Drosophila melanogaster: one gene and its partners. Changing the gene in region 2 together with the main gene of any one other region gives a genetic interaction. Each region holds a gene or a part of one and is shown on either strand. Other genes may lie near its edges.

What was found.
Region 1: of otu (region 2) and enc, changing one suppresses a phenotype caused by changing the other (phenotypic suppression), as found in Drosophila melanogaster (one study listed by BioGRID).
Region 3: of otu (region 2) and Sxl, changing one suppresses a phenotype caused by changing the other (phenotypic suppression), as found in Drosophila melanogaster (one study listed by BioGRID).
Region 4: of otu (region 2) and ct, changing one enhances a phenotype caused by changing the other (phenotypic enhancement), as found in Drosophila melanogaster (one study listed by BioGRID).

What each region holds. Positions count from the first base shown.
Region 1 is NT_037436.4:3,816,644-3,821,955, reverse strand, and holds the start of enc (encore), read right to left. Parts: upstream 3,278-5,312; 5' UTR 3,039-3,277; coding exon of another isoform or gene 3,036-3,038; intron 1-3,035. Other genes in the region: Scsalpha1 (Succinyl-coenzyme A synthetase alpha subunit 1), read right to left, coding at 3,957-4,172, 4,235-4,519, 4,876-5,312. UniProt on the Drosophila melanogaster protein: Required for the regulation of germline mitosis, karyosome formation, and establishment of dorsoventral (DS) polarity of the egg and embryo. Involved in proper grk mRNA localization and translation in the oocyte.
Region 2 is NC_004354.4:8,484,254-8,491,604, reverse strand, and holds otu (ovarian tumor), read left to right. Parts: upstream 1-2,069; 5' UTR 2,070-2,231; exon of another isoform or gene 2,232-2,257; intron 2,258-2,482; exon of another isoform or gene 2,483-2,661; intron 2,662-2,752; 5' UTR 2,753-2,773; coding exon 2,774-3,001; intron 3,002-3,063; coding exon 3,064-3,161; intron 3,162-3,230; coding exon 3,231-3,385; intron 3,386-3,442; coding exon 3,443-3,838; intron 3,839-3,891; coding exon 3,892-4,028; intron 4,029-4,222; coding exon 4,223-4,348; intron 4,349-4,611; coding exon 4,612-5,856; intron 5,857-5,924; coding exon 5,925-6,101; 3' UTR 6,102-6,597; downstream 6,598-7,351. UniProt on the Drosophila melanogaster protein: Catalytic component of a deubiquitinase complex consisting of bam and otu. The complex deubiquitinates K63-linked polyubiquitinated proteins; this antagonizes the ubiquitination activity of Traf6 and regulates the IMD immune signaling pathway.
Region 3 is NC_004354.4:7,094,996-7,100,369, forward strand, and holds the start of Sxl (Sex lethal), read right to left. Parts: upstream 3,059-5,374; 5' UTR 3,006-3,058; exon of another isoform or gene 2,950-3,005; intron 2,774-2,949; exon of another isoform or gene 2,629-2,773; intron 2,072-2,628; exon of another isoform or gene 2,003-2,071; intron 1,941-2,002; exon of another isoform or gene 1,820-1,940; intron 1-1,819. Other genes in the region: CG4615 (uncharacterized protein), read right to left, coding at 4,379-4,660, 4,732-4,951, 5,014-5,204, 5,279-5,374. UniProt on the Drosophila melanogaster protein: Sex determination switch protein, which controls sexual development and dosage compensation in females. Sxl protein is only active in females: it is inactive in males throughout development.
Region 4 is NC_004354.4:7,607,013-7,612,343, reverse strand, and holds the start of ct (cut), read right to left. Parts: upstream 3,197-5,331; 5' UTR 2,929-3,196; coding exon 2,806-2,928; intron 1-2,805. UniProt on the Drosophila melanogaster protein: Regulator of cell fate decisions in multiple lineages. Specifically, functions as a determination factor that specifies sensory organ identity in precursor cells. Probably also involved in cell type specification of Malpighian tubules.

The DNA of each region.
Region 1 (5,312 bases), on a different chromosome or scaffold from region 2:
CCATGAAAGGTGTTAACAACAAACGCCTGGCCAAGAAAGCTGGTGGAAGGCGGGCAAGGCTACCATCGCCTCCACTCACTTGACCCAGACAGACAGATGGAAGAGGCCAGCCAAAGAAGTCTTCATTCAAGCGCGCCCCCAACCAAAAAGGCTCTTGCTAAAACCCTGATTATGACAGATTTTATTCGGCGATATGACGACTAACATTTCCATTTAGTTCCAATAGTAATTATACTGGTAACGTAAACAATTTTACACATCTAAATGTCTACTATCAAGCAGCTAAATATCTTAAAATCTTTAAACTTTTGTCAGCTATCGTTTCTGCTTTGGTTTTTTCGTGACAGACGGCCAAAACTTTTAAGGCCACGTTAAGCAGCCATTGAGTTCTGCGGCAGAGCGCAGAAAAAGCCGAGCTAAGCACAGCTGGCGAACAGAGAATCCTGACTAGCAGATGTCCTGTAAACGGCTAAATGGTGCTCATAGCTTAAGGGAAAATATTAATAGGAGTAGGAGAAGAGAGCTAGACTTTCAGTCTCCTCAATCATTCATTCATTTGGCATATGAGACATGCCCGTTGCATACGAAAAGGGGCACCTGGGAGCCGACATTTGGGGCCATTTGATTGTTGTCTTCGGCTTTCCCCGCGCTCAGGCCATCTGCGGGAATTATGAAATATGCAAAAAGCATCTGCACGGACCTAAAGCCACCACCCAGTCACCTCCTTCGCTTCTACGGGAATAGAATTTGCTTGGCATCGCAACTTTGTCTGCGGAATCTACAGAGGACAGCGGTGGGGCAGGTGTGTGGAACTGATGGGGCTCTTTGAGCCAAATCAAAATCAAAAACAAAACTGGCGTAACCGATGTGATGTGTCTGCTCTTATCACAGGCGATTATTCATAAGCAGCAGACTAAATAAAGTACAGCGCATCTTCGTTGACAAGTAATCAGCCAAATATTAATTATTCCCAGTGTATATATATAAAAAAAATAATTTTTTTAATTTTACCTTCAAAACATAAAACGCTTGTGGGCACGAGTATATTTATTTTTCCTGATTTATTCAAGGCATCAGATGAGCTCTTTGGAAAGGTAGAAAACAACCAATGTTTTTCAATATTCAATTATGTGGACTATAAAAATTTTGCTTTAAATTACAAGTTACATTTTTTTTAACTCAATAAAAATTCTACTAACAGGAGTTTGCCTGCTGAAATATCGAAATGCGAAATCAAAAGATGTACGCCTGCCAGAATGTGTTTCAAAAAATGCAAATAAAATGCCATCCGATATAGAAAGTGGCATGAGCGAAGGCAATAAATTAATTTACACAAATTCTCGACATTCTCGCATGAAAAATGCTTCGGTTTCGCGAGTTTTTGCAGTAAGACTTGTGTTCAATCTTTTTTTGTTTGTGTAATGAGTGCGAAACGGAAGGCCGAAGCGAATCCGAGCGCATCACAATCGACTAACTAAGTAGCAGCAGCCACTAAGGAAACAACTACAACATTGTGTGACAACGACGACATTTCGTTTAGAGCATCAGCAAAGATACATCATCCTCATCACGGCATCATCGACCGAAAATCGGTCATCATCGGTGGAATCATTAGATGCGAGTATCCAAATAAAACAATAAACAGACGAAAACAAAACAGCGACGTTTTTAGTATAAATTGTATTATAAAGTACAGTGGACACTTGCATTGAAAGACCAATGAGTCCAGATATTCAAAACCCAAACTTTCCTAAACTCACACTTTTTGATAGAAGCTACAATCACTAATAAGATAAAATCTTCACTTTCACTCAAGAAAATTTGTGTGGATTTAACAAAAATAAGAACTATTTTTTGCGTGTTTCGGTGTTTGGGAGAGCGAATAAACAAAAAACTGACGACATTATTGCGACGCCAGCGATGTAAGAGAATTGGAGACAAATGTGAGAAAGGCCCAGGGAAGTGGAGGGAGGGGGGATATAGCCGGGCTGGTCGGATAATTCGCAAAATAGATTTTCAATAAAACCCACTCGAAAACGCCGACAATGGCGGACGCAGGCCAAAGAGCCATTTCGAATCTATTTTAAACACAAACAAAAGCATTCTCTATAAATCGAGCAAACGCGAAGAGGAAGAAAACTTACAAAAATGTTTGCAAGAATGCGATATGTCACCAGAAGTTGAGGGTTCCTAGCGAACTGGAACGCACATTTTTCGGCGTTTTGTAATCGATCTGCAGCAGCAGCAACAGTTTTCAAAACTATTTATCCTAAAGCTTATACACAAAAATCTACATAATATATAGATAGGACGCATCCTTAAGTGGTTTTTCATATCCGAAGTAATAATGACGTGCTGTTTGTAAAATATATTTTACATTTACATTACTTTTAACTCAACCTGATATTTCGGATCAACATTTTAAAAACTTAAAACTAAAGAATAATAAAGAATAATACTTCTAGCTATATTTCTCGTTTCATAATAATATTTTTTTAAAGTAGGATATTGAATATATATTATATTAAAAGTACGGAAGCATTGGCATAATATTAAATCGAAGAATTATGTGAGCAATTAAGCTACCAATCTGCTACCAACAATCCCATAATTTATTATTTTCAATGCAGCACTATGTATTGCGAGCGTCAAGGCCATGAACTCCTGGTATTAGCCATGCTACAACTTTTTTTCAATAAAGTTCCTCGGCGAACGAAAATTCCAACTAACAACTCCAATTAGACATACCCGGAATCAGATAACGGGGCCTTCCCGGCAGCCCTACTAAAAGGCATGCACTACTCCGTCACATACATACATACATGCGAGGTGATAAATTTGTATGTGCACATGTGTGTGTGTGCGTATGTAGTGCACTTTAAAATGCAACCGCAACCGGCGGCTGCAAAAACCGAAAATGTTGCAATAGTAATAATAAGCGCACTAATATTATTATGTTCACATCATTTCCAACACGCTTTGCGAGAAAAGGGACAGTGCTAACGAAATTTAGGGACATTTTCTTAGAAACTCACCATTTTCAGTTCTGCTGCCCATGGCGAGTCGTTGTTGTTGCTTTTCCTTTGGTTGCTCTCCCTTTTGATTATCTGCGATTTTCACACTTTTCCGGGGTGGCGAACAATATGCGAATCGGCACTATAGCTTCTGACGTTTTTCGCGGTGTTTTCCAAGTTTGTTTAGGCCTTTGTGGCACGCATTTTCAATCGCGGCCCTAAAACATATATATGTTTATTAGAGCTGGCACAAAAAGCGATGGCAGTTCGATATTAATGTTGCCAGATATTTCACGAGTTAATCGAAACTTCCGCTCTATCGATGTGTGCTCTTGATGTTTGCAAGTCGATCCCATTAAATATCGAAAGTAGAAAACTACATTTTTTTAAATTTCCTTAAATCTTTTTTTAATATGGTAAGCATTGCTTTTCATAAATTATTGTTTTGTTAATTCTTCTCCAAAGAATTTTAGTTTAGATTAAATAAATTGACCTGAAAATTCATATTTTCAAAGGATATGGCTTGTATAGCTAAAACCACGAAAATTCACCACATCTATCCTGTTTTTATGCATATTTATTACACATTCAGATACAATTCGCATTGATAATTCGAGCAGGCATTTAAAATTAAGGCAAAAATCTGTTCGCAACACAAACAATGAGCCGAGTGCAATAACAATTAGAAATCTTGGTTTTGGTGCGAGTTATTTTAGTTCAACTTGGTGGTACGGCAGTAGTTAACTTAATTCTTGGAATACATGTCACAATTCAACGCCTCTCGTTTCTCTCTAGTAATTTTTCACAATAATTTATTTGGGTTCGCTCGAATGCAATTTCGATTTTCGACACTTTTAGCTTAACGTTAGGTTCATCATCATGAGTTTGCGTATACGCTTTGATCGGCGTACGGATTCCGGTTTGGTTATGGCCTTTAATTATTTACACTAACTCCAGACGCTTCATCTCCTTGAAGAGCTCGTGGCCCATTTTGGCAGGACTCCTGGTCACAATGACGCCGGCCTTCTCCAGGGCGGCGATCTTGTCGTTGGCACCTCCCTTTCCTCCGGAAATGATGGCTCCAGCGTGACCCATGCGACGGCCGGGTGGCGCCGACACTCCGGCAATGAACGAGACGACAGGCTTGGCCTTGATGCCCTGCAATAGGATACAAAAACATTTAGCAATGAAATACATTGATCCGTGATGGCTTCTCATACCGAATTGTACTCGGTCAGGTAGTCGGCAGCCTTCTCCTCGGCAACGCCTCCGATCTCGCCGATCAGGATGATGCCCTTGGTCTCGGGATCCTTGAGGAAGACCTCCAGGCAGTCGATGAAGTCGGTTCCGTTGAACGGATCGCCTCCAATGCCCACGCACAGGGTCTGGCCCAGACCCACCTCCGTGGTCTGGTGCACGGCCTCGTAGGTCAAGGTTCCCGAGCGCGAGACCACGCCGATCTTGCCGCGCTTGTGAATGTGACCCGGCATGATGCCGATCTTGCACTGCAATCAGAAAAAACATAGTTTAAGATTATACAATTGACTTAACTGAAAGTGGAGTGAAGTGGGTAATCACTAAGTTTTGTGACGCATAGAAAGATAAGCGTTATAAATGGTAATAAAAAACGTATCGTCCGCAAATTCCACCAACTTCAGGTGCAAAGTTCAATGCCCAAATTTAAGGGTGTGTCAATGGAGGCCTGTTTATACATTAACAATAAGCAAATTGAAAACGGAATAGTAAACAGATATATGTAGTTCAAAGCGAGCGTCATACCAAGAGATAAGAAAACCACCAGATGAACGTGGACTTTGCCCTCTGGCCAAGCTTATCTCTCAAGCGCTGGAGATGTACGAACCTGTTCGGGGGCGATGATTCCCGGGCAGTTGGGACCCACCAATCGCGACTTGCTCTGGCTGATGAGGGCGTGCTTCACCTTCACCATGTCGTGCTGCGGCACACCCTCCGTAATGCAAACGATCAGGGGGATCTCCGCTTCCAGAGCCTCGATGATGGCGGCCGCAGCGCCCGGTGGTGGCACATAGATGACGGTGGCATGTGGATCGGTGGCCTTCTTGGCCTCCGCCACCGAAGCGAAGACGGGCAGTCCCAGATGCTGGGTGCCTCCCTTCTTGGGGGAAATGCCGCCGACCAACTTGGTGCCGTACTCCAGAGCCTGTTGGCTGTGGAACGTGCCCTGTTTGCCGGTGAATCCCTGGCAGATCACCCGCGAATCGCCGTTCAGCTTCAAGTTGCCGCGCGTCTTGTTGTACTGCGAATTGCAGCGCACTCCGG
Region 2 (7,351 bases):
TGTGCGGTTCGCTAGAGTGAAGCTAATAAAATAACCGGTTCGTGGCAGCCAAACAAAAAAAAAGAAGATATTTCTCATGCACAATTCACTTTTTTATTTGGCAAATGTTGCTTCGGATTCTCTTGGCAAGCGAAATTCTCTTTGTTTTGTTTGGACTGTATGCTTTACCTCTTACTTCCCCTTTTTATTTCAGCAAAGACGCGACGAGCTAAAATGTTCGAAGGCAACTAAAAGCAGCAAACGGAAATTCTTAGCCGCCGACCGGCAAACAATCGCATCAGAAAAAAAAAACAACAAAAGCAGAGAAGACAACTTTCGAGATGTTCCCAAATTCAGAAACTCACTGTGCTATTTCAAAGATGGTTGGTATTGTTTGTATTTCTACACCATCAAACATTTCATTTCGCATATTTGTGAAATTACGTTAATATAATATTATCACACAGCACAAGATTTTGAAACCACTTATAAAAACAACATTTAGATGTTATAAAATACCATGCAATATCAGATATAAAGCTTTAAAGACCTTTATATTTTGGAAAACAAAGTGATGGTTTTTCGAAAACAGGAACGTCGATTTTTATCACATGAAGAGTTTAAGTCGTTAATTCGTGTTTGAGGGACACATGTCAAGAACCGCGAGCAAGCGAGATGGAGCTAATGGAGCACTTATCTGGGAGCCCGACGAGTCCGGTTCAAGAGACCTATATTTTTGTATTTTCTTTATTTTGTTTTTGGTGATAAGATAGTTGCGGGAACAGGATAGTTGTATAATCGGTATATTGATAAGACGACCGACAATATATTGGCCGAATCATTTAATCAATTAATTGCTGACAAAAACGAACCAAAGTTCGAAGGTCAGCAGACGGCATTGCAGAAATGTCCGTGACATTGACCTCGGCACCTGGAAAATGAAATACCACCCAAAAAAAAAGAACATCATATCTATGTCACCATTTGACCCAGTTAATCGAAAATCGTGGAATTAACGAAAAGGAATCAAAGAAATATTATTTCGTTGGGCCGTGTGTGGGAAAGAGAGGTGGCGCAAACAAGGCGAGAGAGAGACGGGGCGAACACGCGTTCAACAAACTTGATTAACGGTTTATCGATTTGCCATCGCACTCGCACAAGCACGTGCTTTGTTTGTCGCTCCTATTGATTTTTACGGCATTGCTTGGATATGAAATAACCGCACATTTCTACTTCTTCCTTTTGTGCACTCCTTCCAATTTCATAACGTTGTTTATTTGCATGTGTGTATCGCATGTACAAATGTCCATTGTTGTGTGTGGTTGAGTCCACGTGTGTTGTTTTTGTTAATGACTGTGATTTTCATATGTAAAACTCTTTGTTATTATTATTCGATGGAAGGAGGAGGAAAACGAAACAGATGAACATGGCGTAAAGTTGATGAAACACCGAGAGGAAATAGAATTCATAGTCGTTGCGTTTTGCACACTCGCAAGATAACCAACTAACGACATTTACTAACAATAAACAAAAACATAACTTTACACGAGAACACAAAAAACACAAAAAAAAAACAGGAAAACAAAAGGCACACACAGTCACACACTCACATCTCTTCCAGACAACTTTTGTCGCGGTAACAGCGCGAACTGAAAGTTTGCTCCTGGCTTCATTGACTCGCAATTTCGAACTGAGTCTGATGAACAAGAACAACAGTGCGCCGTGTGGAAAGCGGCATTTTCCACCCCCTAAAAAGCGGGCCAGCAACAACAGCAACGACAGTAACAAGAACAATTTGAAGGTAACAGAAACTTTTGGGGATGACACGGAACAGATGATGCCGCTATCGGTGTCATCGATAGACGGCGATAACAGGAGTTTTTTAACCGCTCAGCAATATATTTCAAGTATATCATACACTTGTGTATTTCATTTAGAAAGTATTCAACAAGATCAGATATATTTATTTTGTTGATAAAATCACGAACCAACTCCATTGATTCATTTCCGCACATCACTATTGCCCAATTTCGTTTGTCGGCATCCTTCCAGGCACTGGAAGTTCGTTCTTATACTTTTCGTTCGCATTCTAGTTCGCGGGTTCTCTGAAAGGCTAGATCGCGCCATTCGCTTCAATTCTTCGTGTAACGGTGCTAGGTGCGGATGCCAGTGTTATTTTTAATTGTTAATTTAATTGTTAACTATTTATAAAAATAGAATTTGTACAACAGAAGACGAACAGCAGAACACCGGTAATATCTCGATTCGATTTTAACTGTATTAGTTGAAACATTTATAGTAACGGTAATTTGTCAAGTGACGAAATTAACTAATTAAGCGCAGCATGAGAGGCTTTTAAATCATTAAATTTTAAACAAATATTTAATTTTCATCAGCTTCATCACATTTAATTTTGCTCTTTTGCTTCATTTGCCTTTCTACTGCGCCATCTTGAATTCGCAGGTGCATATTGTCATCTCGCTCTGAAGCCCGGCTTGTATGGAGTCGGTTAATAATTGGAATATATTTGTATTGCAGCAAATTTGCTTTAAAACTATTAAAGTTAAAAAAACTATACAATAGTTAACATAAAATAAGTAATAAAGCTTAGTATGCGCACTTCTTAGTGAAACGACAATAGATAGCAGTTGAAAAGTGATTGTGAAGGTCAAATAGATCGAGGTCAGGGCCCTCTTCTAACTGTTAATTGTGCAATACTTGTATTTCAAAGGGAAAACATGACAAAAAAAAAATGAAATGAATAAAATTTAAGTTTCTCGATTCCAGAGTCGCCATGGACATGCAAGTGCAGCGCCCCATTACGTCAGGCAGCCGGCAGGCCCCGGATCCGTATGATCAGTATCTGGAGAGCCGTGGACTCTACCGTAAGCACACGGCCCGGGACGCCTCCAGTTTGTTCCGTGTGATCGCCGAGCAGATGTACGACACCCAGATGCTGCACTACGAGATTCGGCTAGAGTGCGTCCGCTTCATGACCCTAAAACGACGCATCTTTGAGAAGGTAGGCCTCTAACAATCACACATTTTGTAAAAAAAAAAGAAATAATTTTATTTATATCCCAGGAAATTCCTGGCGATTTCGATAGCTACATGCAGGACATGTCCAAGCCCAAGACATATGGAACCATGACAGAACTACGCGCTATGTCCTGCCTATATCGGTAATTAATCCTTAGTTACTATTTTCTATTAAATTCTACAAATATATATGATTTCTGTACGACTTCCAGCCGCAATGTTATCCTGTATGAGCCCTACAACATGGGCACCAGCGTCGTTTTTAATCGTCGCTATGCGGAAAACTTCCGTGTCTTCTTCAACAATGAGAATCACTTTGATTCGGTTTATGACGTTGAATATATAGAAAGAGCCGCCATTTGTCAATGTACGTAGCCTATTAATATATCCAATTTTGCTTTTTGTATATGTACGTTGCTTTCAGCAATCGCCTTTAAGTTGCTGTACCAGAAGCTTTTCAAATTGCCTGACGTATCCTTTGCTGTGGAGATTATGTTGCATCCACACACCTTCAATTGGGATCGCTTCAATGTGGAGTTCGATGACAAGGGCTATATGGTTCGCATTCATTGCACCGATGGACGAGTTTTTAAGCTTGATCTGCCAGGGGACACAAACTGCATACTGGAAAACTATAAGCTGTGCAATTTCCATAGCACCAATGGAAATCAGAGCATTAATGCTCGAAAGGGAGGCCGGCTGGAGATTAAAAACCAGGAGGAGCGAAAGGCATCCGGCAGCAGTGGCCACGAACCAAACGATCTGTTGCCCATGTGTCCAAACCGATTGGAGTCCTGTGTCCGCCAGCTGCTAGATGATGGTCAGTAGAGGTGGTTTCAAACATCAAATGCTTACATAATACTCTCTTTTTAGGTATCTCTCCGTTTCCCTACAAAGTGGCCAAGTCCATGGACCCCTATATGTATCGTAATATAGAATTTGATTGCTGGAACGATATGCGCAAGGAGGCCAAGCTTTATAATGTCTACATAAATGACTATAACTTTAAGGTAAACTGTGCAGAACATTGGATTATCGTTAGCACACATACACACGCACACCAACACACGTTTCATGTCAACCACCCATCCAAATTAACACCCTTTCATTTTCATCTATACACTGGATACACCTTATACTTTACTATACATGTATGTCTTGCCTTATCCTTCCTCGTCTCGTCGCCGTGTTATTTGTTTTCCAGGTGGGCGCCAAGTGCAAGGTGGAATTGCCGAACGAAACGGAGATGTACACGTGCCACGTTCAAAATATCTCCAAAGATAAGAATTACTGCCACGTCTTTGTTGAGAGGATTGGCAAAGAGATAGTGGTACCTCTTCTTTTTATCTGATTTTCTAGACCCTTGCAGAGAAATGCAAAAATTTCGATTAGAAACGATTATCATATTTAACAATTAGTTAAATTTGTTAAAGTTTAGTTAAAAGTATATTAATTGTGGCCCAATGAACTGGTATATAAGTCTATAAAATAATTGATCTGCAAGGGCTAAAAATGTTCGGTATCCGAAGCTAATTGTAACTATTTCGCTTTAATAGAGAGCTTACTAATATACAAACATATCTGTTGGCTTAGGTCCCGTATGAATCGCTCCATCCCCTGCCGCCAGATGAGTACCGCCCATGGTCGTTGCCATTCCGCTATCATCGCCAGATGCCTCGCTTGCCGTTGCCCAAGTATGCCGGTAAGGCCAACAAGTCTTCCAAATGGAAGAAGAACAAGCTGTTCGAAATGGACCAGTATTTTGAGCACAGCAAGTGTGATTTGATGCCCTACATGCCCGTGGACAATTGCTATCAGGGTGTGCACATTCAGGACGATGAGCAGCGGGATCATAATGATCCTGAACAAAATGACCAGAACCCGACTACGGAGCAGCGGGATCGTGAAGAACCGCAGGCACAGAAGCAACACCAGCGCACGAAGGCATCAAGGGTTCAGCCGCAGAACTCGAGTTCCAGCCAAAACCAGGAGGTTTCGGGTTCGGCTGCCCCGCCACCCACTCAGTATATGAATTACGTGCCAATGATACCGAGTCGTCCTGGGCATTTACCGCCACCTTGGCCTGCATCTCCGATGGCTATTGCCGAGGAGTTTCCGTTCCCCATTTCAGGAACCCCGCATCCACCGCCAACCGAAGGTTGTGTATACATGCCATTCGGTGGTTATGGTCCACCACCACCGGGAGCTGTTGCTTTATCGGGACCGCATCCATTTATGCCGCTTCCTTCTCCACCGCTAAATGTTACCGGAATTGGCGAGCCACGTCGTTCTCTACACCCAAACGGTGAAGATTTGCCCGTGGATATGGTGACTTTGAGATACTTCTACAACATGGGCGTGGATTTGCATTGGCGCATGTCGCACCACACGCCGCCTGATGAACTAGGAATGTTTGGATACCATCAGCAGAACAACACTGATCAACAGGCAGGACGGACTGTAGTCATTGGCGCCACAGAGGACAATTTGACTGCCGTGGAGTCAACACCACCACCTTCGCCAGAGGTGGCAAATGCCACAGAGCAGTCACCGCTTGAGAAAAGTGCCTACGCCAAGCGCAATTTGAATTCGGTTAAGGTGCGCGGCAAACGTCCGGAGCAGCTGCAAGATATTAAGGATTCGCTGGGGCCAGCGGCATTTTTGCCCACTCCAACGCCATCGCCAAGCTCGAATGGCAGTCAGTTTAGTTTCTATACTACTCCATCGCCGCATCATCACCTGATAACACCGCCGAGGTTGCTCCAACCGCCGCCACCGCCACCGATATTCTACCACAAGGCGGGACCACCACAGCTAGGGGGAGCAGCTCAAGGACAGGTAGGAGTGATACATGCACTAACAAATTCAAAATATTCTATAGGCAATCGACACTCGACCATTTTTAGACTCCCTACGCCTGGGGCATGCCAGCTCCGGTGGTGTCCCCCTATGAGGTGATCAACAACTATAACATGGACCCGTCGGCTCAGCCACAACAACAGCAGCCAGCCACCTTGCAACCAGCTCCCTTATCTGTCCAATCTCAGCCGGCAGCTGTCTATGCTGCAACGCGTCATCACTAAACAAAGAAAGAAAAAAAAAAGGGAGCGGGGGCAAAAAACAGATCACTTGAAAGAGAGAGGCCATACAGATCGAAGGCATTACATTCCATTGCAATTAACGGCTTTTAAAATTTAATCTCACTTTTAAATTTGTAGTTAACTTTTTATAGGCCATAAGCGTTGGCGCTCTATCATAAACCATTCAGCTTCTGTACAACAATCGATTGCATAACCTAACGCAAATGTCAACCCAACTTCATTTTAAAAATGTAATTTAACGTAATTTTATGCGAATTTTTTTAAAGTTAGCCGTCACGAAATCAAAGAACCACCTATTTATATGATTTATTTAAAACCCTTCTAACCAAAAATATCTACATACTATCTACTATATATATACATATATATATATATATATATTTATGTGCTCGCTGTTCGGCTAGAGACTCACCTATGTAAAGTGTACCATCAAAAATTAACCATAAATAAAACAAGATTCAACTGCAGCGCAAGAGACAAAATGTACAAAAGACTTTTGCAGGTGCTGCAATTACGTGGTATTCTCGTGTTTCGGCGCGATTTCAGATAGCAAACAAAAGGTGTGGATTGGCTTGGATTACTTTGATTCACCTCGTCACATCACATCGACGCTGATCTTCGAAACGATAAAGAACTCTGATGTAATCCTTTAGTTTCATTGTAAAAGTTTGTTATTATTGTATGTACTGTCTTTATTTGTGTCATAATTTGTTTGTCTATGTTAGTTTTAGAAAACGCTGTTATTTTTGATAAGCAGATAGTTTTTTAATGCATGGGTTTATATTGTAGCATATTACATCAAATTAGTGCATACTAACTAAGAAAAAAAAAACAACAAAAAGTATTTACAACTAAGAAAATTAGATATTAGAAAATTTATAAGGTTCATTAGTTCAATCAATCACGATTACTTTAGTATGTAGTACATTGAAAATGTTTTGAGCTGTCAACATTATCCTGCTAAAACTAACCCATGTTAAAACCATCCAGAATGCTGAAGATAAGTTGAGTTAAGGAGTGCAACGCCTCCATACTGGTTTCCGTTGTCCGTTTAGATAAGGGCTAGTTGGAATAAATTATGAAAATAAGTATCTTAAACAAAAATTACAAAATATGCTAAAGTACTAAAGAACTTGGAAGCTAATAATACGATGGTATCACAGAAATCTTTGTACATAAGTTTAATATTTCAATTCACCAACGTACCTGTATGGTTTGTTTAATTTGAATCG
Region 3 (5,374 bases), 1.4 Mb from region 2:
ATTACGATAAAATGTTAATATATATGACTTTTTTAGCTGTTTAATAATTCAAAGCAGCAAATAATATTGCAATGATACACAACAGAAAAAAATATTACATAACAATAATAAAAAAAAAACAATGCAGGCTTTCATTGATTTCATTGACACCATTTAGCAGACATTTTTCGGCAGTGTACGAGGGAAAGAGATGGAGAAAGCGCCAGCGAATTGTAAAGCAATAACAAAATGCGAGAAAAACTTTACAGTTTGATAACAGTAGTCTGCTAATTTGGAGCACAGTTGTGTAAATAGAGCAGCACTATTATGCAGTGCTTGAGTGAATGTGTGTTCTAAACAGCTGATAAAAGCCCATTTAAGTACATGAGCTAATGTATACATATATACATATAGAAGATGCATGTACACATCTGTGCATCTAACAATCGCTCAGCTGGGAAAATGAGTCATGTACCCGCATGCATGAATGGATCTCGGTCTGGAAACAAAATCACAGCGGCATTGCCAGACACAATCAACGATCCATCGAACATTCCAGCTGATCGTCCGCTTGGATTGTTATTATACTGTTGTTATTTCAAGTGTATCCAAATGCGCATGTATGTACATATGTATGCATGTATGCTTTTTAAAACATTGAGCGAGCTTAAAAAGTACAGTGAACACTTGACATTGCGGAACCGAAACATATATACTTTCAAGGACGTATTCAACTTCATTTAACTCAGTATTATCTGCCATAAAAACATCGAAATAAGAACATTCAACGCTACAAAATATACTCTTAAATAACGACGCTAAGTAGTTGCATTATCTAGAGACCACTGTTGGGAAGCTTTTATTAACTGAAGACCAAATAAGGTTTAAAACGGGGTGCAACGCTCATGGGAATTGTGTAACGTGCAATTTGCGCAAGGGAATGACCTCAATGGAATGCAGAAATGTGAATTAAGAGTGTTGGTGGAGGTGGGGGTAGTACTAGCTACCGCCATTTCCAATATTTCCAATACGCTTTAAGCGAAGGGAACGATCGTTGCGATGCGACGTCATTGCCAACAGCAAGAAGGGGAATGACCCACCGAGAAGCGGAGATGAAGAGAAAAGGAAATAAATGCAGCTGCCCTCTCCTCACCACTCCACTCCTCTCCCACCAGCCAGCTGCAACTTGAAAAACAAAAAATACGGCAGCTGAGCGTACGATAGAGACAACAACGGAGGGCGAAGCGAACATCTTCCCTTGCGCTCACTACCTGCCTGGAAATATCCAGGATCCCTGATCTTCAATGGAAAAGGGAGGGCCATAAACCGAAAGGCGCGTGTCGCTAATGAGGATCTTTAAAATAATGTTTCGCCAACTAAAGCTATATAAACACTCAACGAAGAAATTACAATTATTTTAATTGCAGAAGCTCTGGGAAACTCCAAAATATGTCATATCTTAACCAGGGACACATGTGTAAGTGAAGTGTACGCCAAAACACGTTGCCTTCGATGATAACAGCTGGCAATGCCGTCGACGTAGGGCGGTCGCCACAGTCGACCACCAAAAAATAGGTACATATCTACTTATTAAAAGCAATCACAAAATACTCCAATTTATGCGCAGCAAGAAACACATGGTGGCATAGTTGGTGAAACAGGAAGTAATATGTATACAGGATATGCGTAAATGTAGGTAGTCGATTTGCAGCGGAACTAAAGGAAGTGAAAAAGGGACACGCGATAAACACTCAGGTAAAGCGAAATCTATTCCAGAATTTTCGGCCCTTCACAACTGGACGCGACTGTATGCATGTGTGTTGTTGTCTTTTTCGCCTACCTTTCGTTATATGTTCTTACTGCCCTTGGGTTTCTCTTGTTGTTTCTTTGCCCCAAAAAGCTGTTTGTATACGAACAAAACCACTTACCCAGCGGCTTAGTTATTATTATTTAGTTAGAGACTAAAATGGAAAAAAAGAATTAAGCACTCACACACACGCTGCTGTTTTTATGTACAACTTACTGTTTATGTGTATGTGCATATGATTTTTGGGCGATGCTTGCATGTTGCTATGTACTACACAACTGTAACGGAAACGAAAAAAAAAAGAAAAAACAAAGTGTAAGCCAGGCGCGTGAATCGCCTTGCAAGTGTGTGCGCGTGTGTTTATGCGTTTGCGGGCATATACACACTCGCACGCTCTCTCACGTAGGCGCAACACACACATATGTATATACATGCGAATGACGAAGCCGCAAGCACAGAAAAAAAAATTAGTACATGAAGTAACAACGAGTGGACGGGAGAGAGAGAGAGAAGGAGTGGGAGAGCGAGCAAAAACGGCTTTGCTTTTGCTTTGCTGTTGTTGGTAGTGGTGGGAAATGCTGAATGGAATTTTACAACATGTTTTCGGCTCGTCAATCGCTTTTGCACTCTTCTTTCAGCTCAATAACTTCACAAAAAACCGTATACAGCAAAAAATAAGAAACAAAAAACAGCGAGTATCTGTATACTGCTCTTTACTCGCTCTATTCAGATGTACATATGTATGTATTTGAGGCCAACAGCAAAAAAAATAACATGTATAACTTGAAAAAAGAAAAGAAAAACTCCAAAAATGCTTGGTTTTTTTGTAATTGTACTACTACAATTGCGATATGATCTATGCGCATTTTCACAATGTCTGCGTGTTTTCCACTATCGTTTCCTCTCCACTTTTCTCTTTTTGCGTGTTCTTTTAATTTCGCTTCGTTATATACACTTCACGTCACGCTAGAAACCCTGTGCATGTATGTATATATATATATCTATATGCATATATATGTACATGCTGCAGTGTCTGTGTGTGTATTGTTTTTTCGATGGGGATTTATTTCTTCTCACACACTTATTCTGTAGCTACACGGATTGCATGGGGCACACAAAACAGCTTCTTTGTCATGATTTTTAAAACGTTTTAACTTATTCACTTGGATCGTGTGTTTGATTTACGTGGCGAGTGTCAGGAGGAGCAAAGAAAAATTACCAGAAAAAAATTCACTGCGCGACTTTCCTTCTTCGGCAACAACAAAGCAGTGTGCACGTTTCGCGGTTGTCGGTCAATTTAAGCTATTTGGGTGGCTTTACGGTGGCTAAACGCGTTTTCGTTATTTTTCTAGGCACTCGGCTGGTCACACTGTTCATTTTCTACACCGCGTTAGTTAAGACTCACTCCATTTAGCGAATACACGAACCCATTTAGCCAAGTTTCACACCTTCGCTTGATTCGTAACGGTCACATAAAATTCAAATATGGGAATTCAAATCAAGCTTGAAATTTTCATTTAAAGAAAAGAAAATAACGAATTAAAATTAGATACAATTTTATGTCTTTTGAGCCCCGTTAGATTTCGTTCATTTAAATATTTAGAATTCTACACAAACAAAAAAAAATTTTCAATAAAATAATATATATATATTTGCAACCAAAAAAAGAATATATGTATATTCATATATTTAAAGCTAAACAAGATGTATGAATAAGCTAAACAAGATACATGCATAACATTGTAAAACGAACAATTATATTTGAGCACGCAACAAACATCTGAGCCCTTTGCTTTCATTTGGAAATATACAATTTATTAGAGCCATTAAAACTAATCGATCTGCACCATAAATACGAGTAGTACACGAAAGCTATATCCGCCGATCGCGAGCCAGGCCCCGAAAATATCAAGATATCAAGCGTATTTGTAAATAGTCACCTTCTTCAGTATCTGCGAACACATCGATTTGTCCCTGAGCTCGGCGATGAAACTGGCCGAAGGGGCTGGACTCGCGGATCGGATGGCCTCTTAATTCTATCTACTTGTGTATATGGGTATATATGGGTATATAATATATCTGTATAATCTGTATAAACATGCATAATGCAATGCGGGATAGGCGGGCTTCTAGTGTTCAAAAGGTTCAGGTCGTTAACTCTCGGATATTTGTACAAGTTTAATATTCGTGTCCTTTGCCTTTTGAGTACGGTTCAAAGTCTTTTGAGAAACACATGGCCAAAACGGGTCGTTATGGATACTAAATATATGAATATCGCTAATAATATCAAGTTAAAGTTGAGAGGGAGAGGGAGAGATGAGCACTCGCACAATTTGAATCTTTGGCAAGACCGCACATACTGATCACAAGAATCGTTTCGATTTAGTTAGTTCGTAATGCTACAACTAGACTACAAGCTAGGCGTCCTCGCTCGCTTAAAATTTGGCTAATTGTGGAGCAGAGACTCGGGTACATCGGGTATATCATAGGAATACGTTACACATGGCTGACAACATCGAATCCCTGTCGTTAAGTACTCTAAGTTCTAAATTCGCTGCATGTTACCACAACTGCTTTGTGGCGCTCGTTTGTTCACGGTGCTGCGGCTCCCTCGCTTGGATATAGATTCACCAGGATGGCGTAATAGTGACATCCGGCGGCCAGCACCACAAACAGATGCCAAATGGCATGGGCCATGGGTATCGTGCCGTCCGCCTTGAAGAATACAATGCCCAGAATGTAGAAGCCGCCGCCGAACTTGAGCTGCATCATACCGTGGAAGTGGTGGCCAGTGAACACAACGACTAGAGCGGGTCCCAGGCCCATCACCAGATAGAAGAACGTCTCCAGACACTTGTAGCGCTCGTGGAAGACCTGTTTTCGCCAAACAAAAGGAAATTTCACCTTAAGGAGCATGTGAACACGGGTGCTGTAAATGAACCCACCTGCTGGTAGGCAATTCCTATGCCCGCCATCAGCCAGATGACCCATTCCATGCAGAAGAGTATGGCCGAATGATCGGTGTTCTCTAGCGTGAGCCAGGGGAAGTACGATCCGGCGATGAACACATAGATCATCGCCCTGTCGCAGCGATGGAGCACGTTCTTGAGCCCCTGATACGTCTGCCAGCCGAGACAGGGCCAGGCCTTGACATTCTTCGGTGGTCTAGTGGAGGTATACAAAAATGTACAAATCAAATGGTTAAATCAGCCTGTGTGCGCACTCACTTGTGCTCGGCGCAATAGCAGGAGCAGTGGAAGAAGGTGGACACCGTGAAGAGCATGCACAGGGCTCCGCCGTAGACCCAAGCAACCAGATACTGGCTGGCGCTGGAGGAGCGTTCAAACAGCTTGATGGCCGCAAAAACGGCGGGCAGTATCCAAATGCCGTGAGTAATCACATTGGCCACCTGCTCGATCTGTTTTTTTTTGGATAGAGTAAATGTGGTTTAGGCGTCAGGTGTACTGTACACATACAATGTATAGAACTCACCTCCGTTGGCTGGTAGGCACAGCCGGGCTTCGCCTTGGCATTCTTCCACTTGACATTGCGCAACTGCAGTTTGAGATTGGAATTCGACTTGATGAT
Region 4 (5,331 bases), 880 kb from region 2:
GTCCACCGATCTGATCTCTATCTGTATACTGTATCTGGCAATATGGTATCTATGGTTTGGTATAGCATGGTATGATATCGTATATGTGTACAAGGTATCCGTGTGCTTCCAAGGGCTTAAGGGACAACCCTTGGCTGCTCATTTTCGGCATATGCAAATGCCGGGACGCCATCTTTGAAAATTAAACTTTATAAACTATCAATGCTCGTCCCCGGTATTCCGCATTTCGTATTTTATATCCGTATCTGCATCTGTGATGGTGCTATGGTGGTGGTGACTACCCTATAAACCGGTTTCAATTCGATTAAAACGGAACCCAAACTCGATTTACTCTCATCTTTTCAATTCAACTTTTCTATTTTTTTTTTTTTAATATTTTTTAAGTCAGCAAATGCATTTGGCAATTAGTTCGGTTTTGTTGTCTTTCCATTTCCATCTTTTTTTTTTCTAGTTTGAATCAGCACAAATCAATGACAAAAACCTCATCTTTCATCTAGTTTTCGGTTTATGGTTTTTCGGATTTCGGTAATTGTAGAAGCTAAACAAAAAATCTGTTCGATGTTAATGGGTCAAGTTTATAGATTGCATTACGGAAATTAATTTTGCTCTTTTTAACTTTTGGTTCTTCTTTGGCTTCTGCTTTTTGTTCTTGCACTTGTTTTTTTTTTCAATTTTTTGTGATCGTTTTTTCGGTGCCACCGTTCTATATATTTAATGACAAAACTTTGTGTTAATCAAGCACATTTTTATTGTTGCTTTTTCGAATTCGATTTGTGTCAATTTTTTCGCGCGCGCTCTGTTCTTGAAATGTAAATAAATAAATAAGTGAAATACTATAAAAATTGTTTTATCAACTCATTTGGACAGCTGTAGACGTCTGTCTGCGGTTTGTTTAATTTATTTAATAAGCTTCTATTTTTGGTTGGCAAATTTAGTTATGTTGAATAACCTTTTTTTCTGCCGCAGAGAAATGGTATTTATGGATCGAGTTCTAATTTTGTTTTGTTGATCAGCATGCGAAGGCATGACGAAACCTTTCAAATATTGATTCATTGATCACAATCGATCATTGGTTGAGGGATCTTGAAAGTTATAGAAGACTTGAAGCTTTTGAAAGCCATTAAATGATCGTTAGGAAAGAGGAAAAAAGAACCCAAAACAGTGGCGCCTTTAGATGGGGTTTTGTGTTTTCGTTTAGGCCGCCAACACTATGCTCTATCACTATGTACATATCTAACATTTAAATATAACAAGCAAATGCATTTAATTAAATAAAAACCGGTTCTATTTGAGATCAGCAAAGCCCCATTCATAAAATCCTGTGTACACCACTGACTTCAAGTAATCCTAACGAGTTCTGCGGCTTCTCATCTTTTTGCCTTTGTTGTGGTTCTCCGGAAAAAGTCGATAGGATAGCTTTTGGTTTTGCTTATTTAAGTTTTATTGATTGCAGTTTGCATCGCCATATCTTGTACAAAAATATTTGTGGAGCGGGAAAAAACGCCATTCACCGACGGCAAATGTCTAGATTTTCCGGGAATTTTTCCATGTCTGTCTTTCACTGTGCGCGTCTCTCGCTTTTCACGATCAATCGAAGAAGAAACTCCAATTAAAAAATTTGCCCGGCTGTCGACGCAACCTAATTAACTTGCCAAACCATATAGAGAGTATTTTTATATATAGAAATATTCAAAAATATATACAGCAGTTGATATTTCCATGTCTGGTCTGGCAGATGATTTTCTTTTCCCCTTTTTGGCCTCTAATGTTATTTTGCCGCCTTATTTGTTCGGAGTCTGGCATTTGGCCAGCGAAATTCTCAGCATCGTCTGGCCCCCGCCTCCCGATTTTCCACGCCCCCTTTTACAGCGAAACCCCCATCTGAATTGTCTCTTCCGTCTGGCCGATCTTGTCTGGCTTTATCTTTTTCGGTTCACTGGTAGTAGAAAACAGAAAAAAAAACGCTTCAAAAAAAAAAAAAGTTATTCAAGCAATAAACTGTTCACTTATTACTTGCTTGTTGCACTTTGCATTTGTTGTTTTTGTTTTGTGCAAACAAATTTTTTTTCAGAAATCAATAATAGCAGAAAAAATAAATAAATTTACAACAAGAAATTAGACAACAATAACGGGCCAGCAACAATAAAAACACATTTGCCATAGACACGCAAACTCAATTAGTTAACTTAAGTTAAGTTAAGCAGTTTGCGGGGCCAAAATATGGGGGCTGTGTGGGGTTAAAGTGGGCGGCTGGGCGCACTAGGGTTATTGTTGTCAGCTGTGGGAGTTTCCAGTGAAATGCAACGAATATCACAGAACTCGGGAACTATTCACTGTTTAGTTACAATGATAATTGCAAATTTGTATATGACTTTTTAGTCTAATCAATGTATGGAAAGTTCTAATTTTAGCTTATAACGTTTTAAAGGCTTTCGGGCTTTTCGCGTTACGCTCCCTAAACTTTTCACTTTGAATACACAATACTGTATGAATCGAATTCATTTCATTCATATAAAGTTAGAAAACGCAAGTATCAAATTTTATGCTACATATAACAGGTGTAATTTCATCTTTTTGTTGACAAAAATAAGATACACCTTGCATGTAATATAAACGTAAGACTGTTTGTCAATGCGAATAAAAGTGAGAACAGAAGATAAAACACTTTTGCACCGAACATTTTACGAACCCGTAATCTCAGCTTGTTTGGCCAATTCATTGAACTATATTCATATTATTATTCTTGAAACACGAAACTTCTTGCTTTTAAGCACCGTTTTCCATCGTTTTGCTAACTTTTCTTACCTGTTGCCAAAACTGTGCCAATAAATAAATTTGCTCCTTTTTGAAAAACCAATCGTTGATTGATTGAACAGCCGTCAGATCCATATCGGCTGTCCCAGCGGCTTGTGGCAATGTTGGCTGCATTCGTGGGCTTTCTTGGGTTAATTCAATAATTCTCAGTCAGTTTTTGCTTAGGTTTTTTTGGGGTTTTCAGTTTTTGGATTCTACCAATTTGGGGCTAATAAGGCCTGGCATTATTCTGTTCTGTTGTCGTTTCGATTTTACTTGTTAGTTAGTTGTTATTTAATTCGGTTTTCGTTTTTAGTCATCACATTTACACCTTAAGTAGTATGTTTCTTGTTACGTGCTCAAAAAAATGCATAAATAAGCCAATTTCTGTGTGTTATTATTATTATTATTATGGTTATGTTATGTTTTATATTTTGTTCACTTTAGTTCCGAAAAAGAATTTTTTTTGATTTTTTTGGAAGGGGGTTTCTTCTTGTTGTTGTGTGGGGGATTTTGTTGTAGTCGTTTGTTGAATGGTGAGGGTATGATGTTGTTGTTTTGGTTGTTGCCTGTTGTTGTTGTGTGTGTGATTTTTTCAAGCCATTATCATTATGTTGTTGCTTTTTGGCTGTGGCTTATTTTGCACATGTTTGCTGTCGCTGTTGTTGCTTTTGATGTTGCTGTTGTTGTTTACACTTGACACTCATACACGCGCACATATTTTAGCGAACAAAAATGCACTTGAAAAAAATAATAAACAGTTATATTATACGTTCGTTTAGTCCTTTTTGATTTGTTTGGCTGTGTGCTGTTTTGTTTATAAATATGATCAATACGTTTCTTCTTCTTGGCAAGCGAGATTCATTCTTTTGCAATTATTTTTTTATGAATTTTTTGTATGAAGTGGGTGGGGGGATTCTTCTGCACACACACACACACGACGTACACACACAGTGAGAGAGAGGGGCACACACGCACACACACCCGCGCCGCGGCTAAGAAGAAGAAGCTGCACTGCCTTGTGGGGCAGTAGAATCCAAAAATCTTCTGAAATTCTCGATTTCTTTCGGCGACGGACGAACGAAACGACGTTGCCAGTCACGAATGCTGTTGATGACTGAACAAATCGAACGTTAACGAAGCGCCGACAACCCTCTGCCGCAGAGAGCGCCGACAGCGGCGTTGGCAGCGACAGAGGCGCCACAAACACACAACACACTCATGCAGCGCAACTCTCTCGCTCGCTCTCTCACGCTCCGCGCAAGAGAATCTCACTCAATTCCCGTGCACTGCTTTTGATTTCTTTCAATAGCTTTTTGATTTTCTCACTTTTTTTGCGCTTTCCTTCTCGGCTTTTTTTTTTACTCTTATTTTTGAGCATTTTTCTGCGCCGTCGCATGTCAGTTGCATGTATTGAAATTCATTCATTCACAGACACTTTGGCTAGTGCCCTCCCGCTCGCACATCGCTTTTCTTATTGGAAACGAAAGAGCCAGGCGCTCGCCTCTCTCCACTACTGCTTGTTGTTGTTGCTTATTGAGCGCAGGATTGAGTGCAACGTCGACTGTGACGCTGGCGGAGGGATTGAGATTGAGGATATTTCGGAAAGTTGTAATATTTTTTGGCTTTAGGGGGATTTACCTGGAATTCAAGTATTATTCTGAAACTGATAAGTTTTAAAGTTAAGAACTAAAGAACTAAAAGTTCCACGAGATAAGTCTTAGAATTAAAAGCAGCTGCTATATTCATCAAATGTTCGAACATAGTAAACAATAGTAGAAAGTGATGGAAATAAAAAAGTAAATACGAAGTGTAAATTAAGCTAAATGCAACAAACAATTCTATGTTTTGTTGTTTAATTTAATTTTTATGTTTTTTTTTAGAGGTAAATGTAACATTTAGAAACAATCTGTCCTTTCCAAATTTCCGCCACTTTATGATGCACCTTAAATTGCATTCCTAACTTAAGTCCCTTGGCTGGCTGTCTCTGTTCGGCTCTTCAAAAATCCATGGAATATTAAATTGGAGAGTAAGCCCCTTCTCAGCCTCCCGTTATTTTGTGTTTTTCCGCAAACCCCTGGAATTTGCAGTCCCGTTGCGGGATTTTCGCATAAAGAAAAGTTCAAATTGTATCGAAGCGCCAAGTGCAATGCAGACGCCCCCGACCCCCTTGGTATTCTCACTCCCTATTTTTCTACTAAACCCCATGATTTCTGCTGGGCGGGGAGGGGCGATGTGGTTGGGATTTTCCAAGGGGTTATGGCTTACACCTAAACTGAGACTGAGAACCCAAGTCGCAGTCGCAGATGCGTTGCTGCAGTCTGAGAGGAAAATCGGTTGAAAAGCGGTTAGGATTTGGGTGGAAAATTGTTGGTAAATGGGGTGTACGGGGAATATTGGGGGCTTGGATCTGCTCGGGGACTTCGTCGTCGGCTTGCAAAATAACGAAAATAACGGGAGAGCCGAGAGAAAGGGCAGCGCCAACTACACGAAGACAAAAAACGATGCTCGGTTCCGCCGTCGGCGTCGAAAAATGTA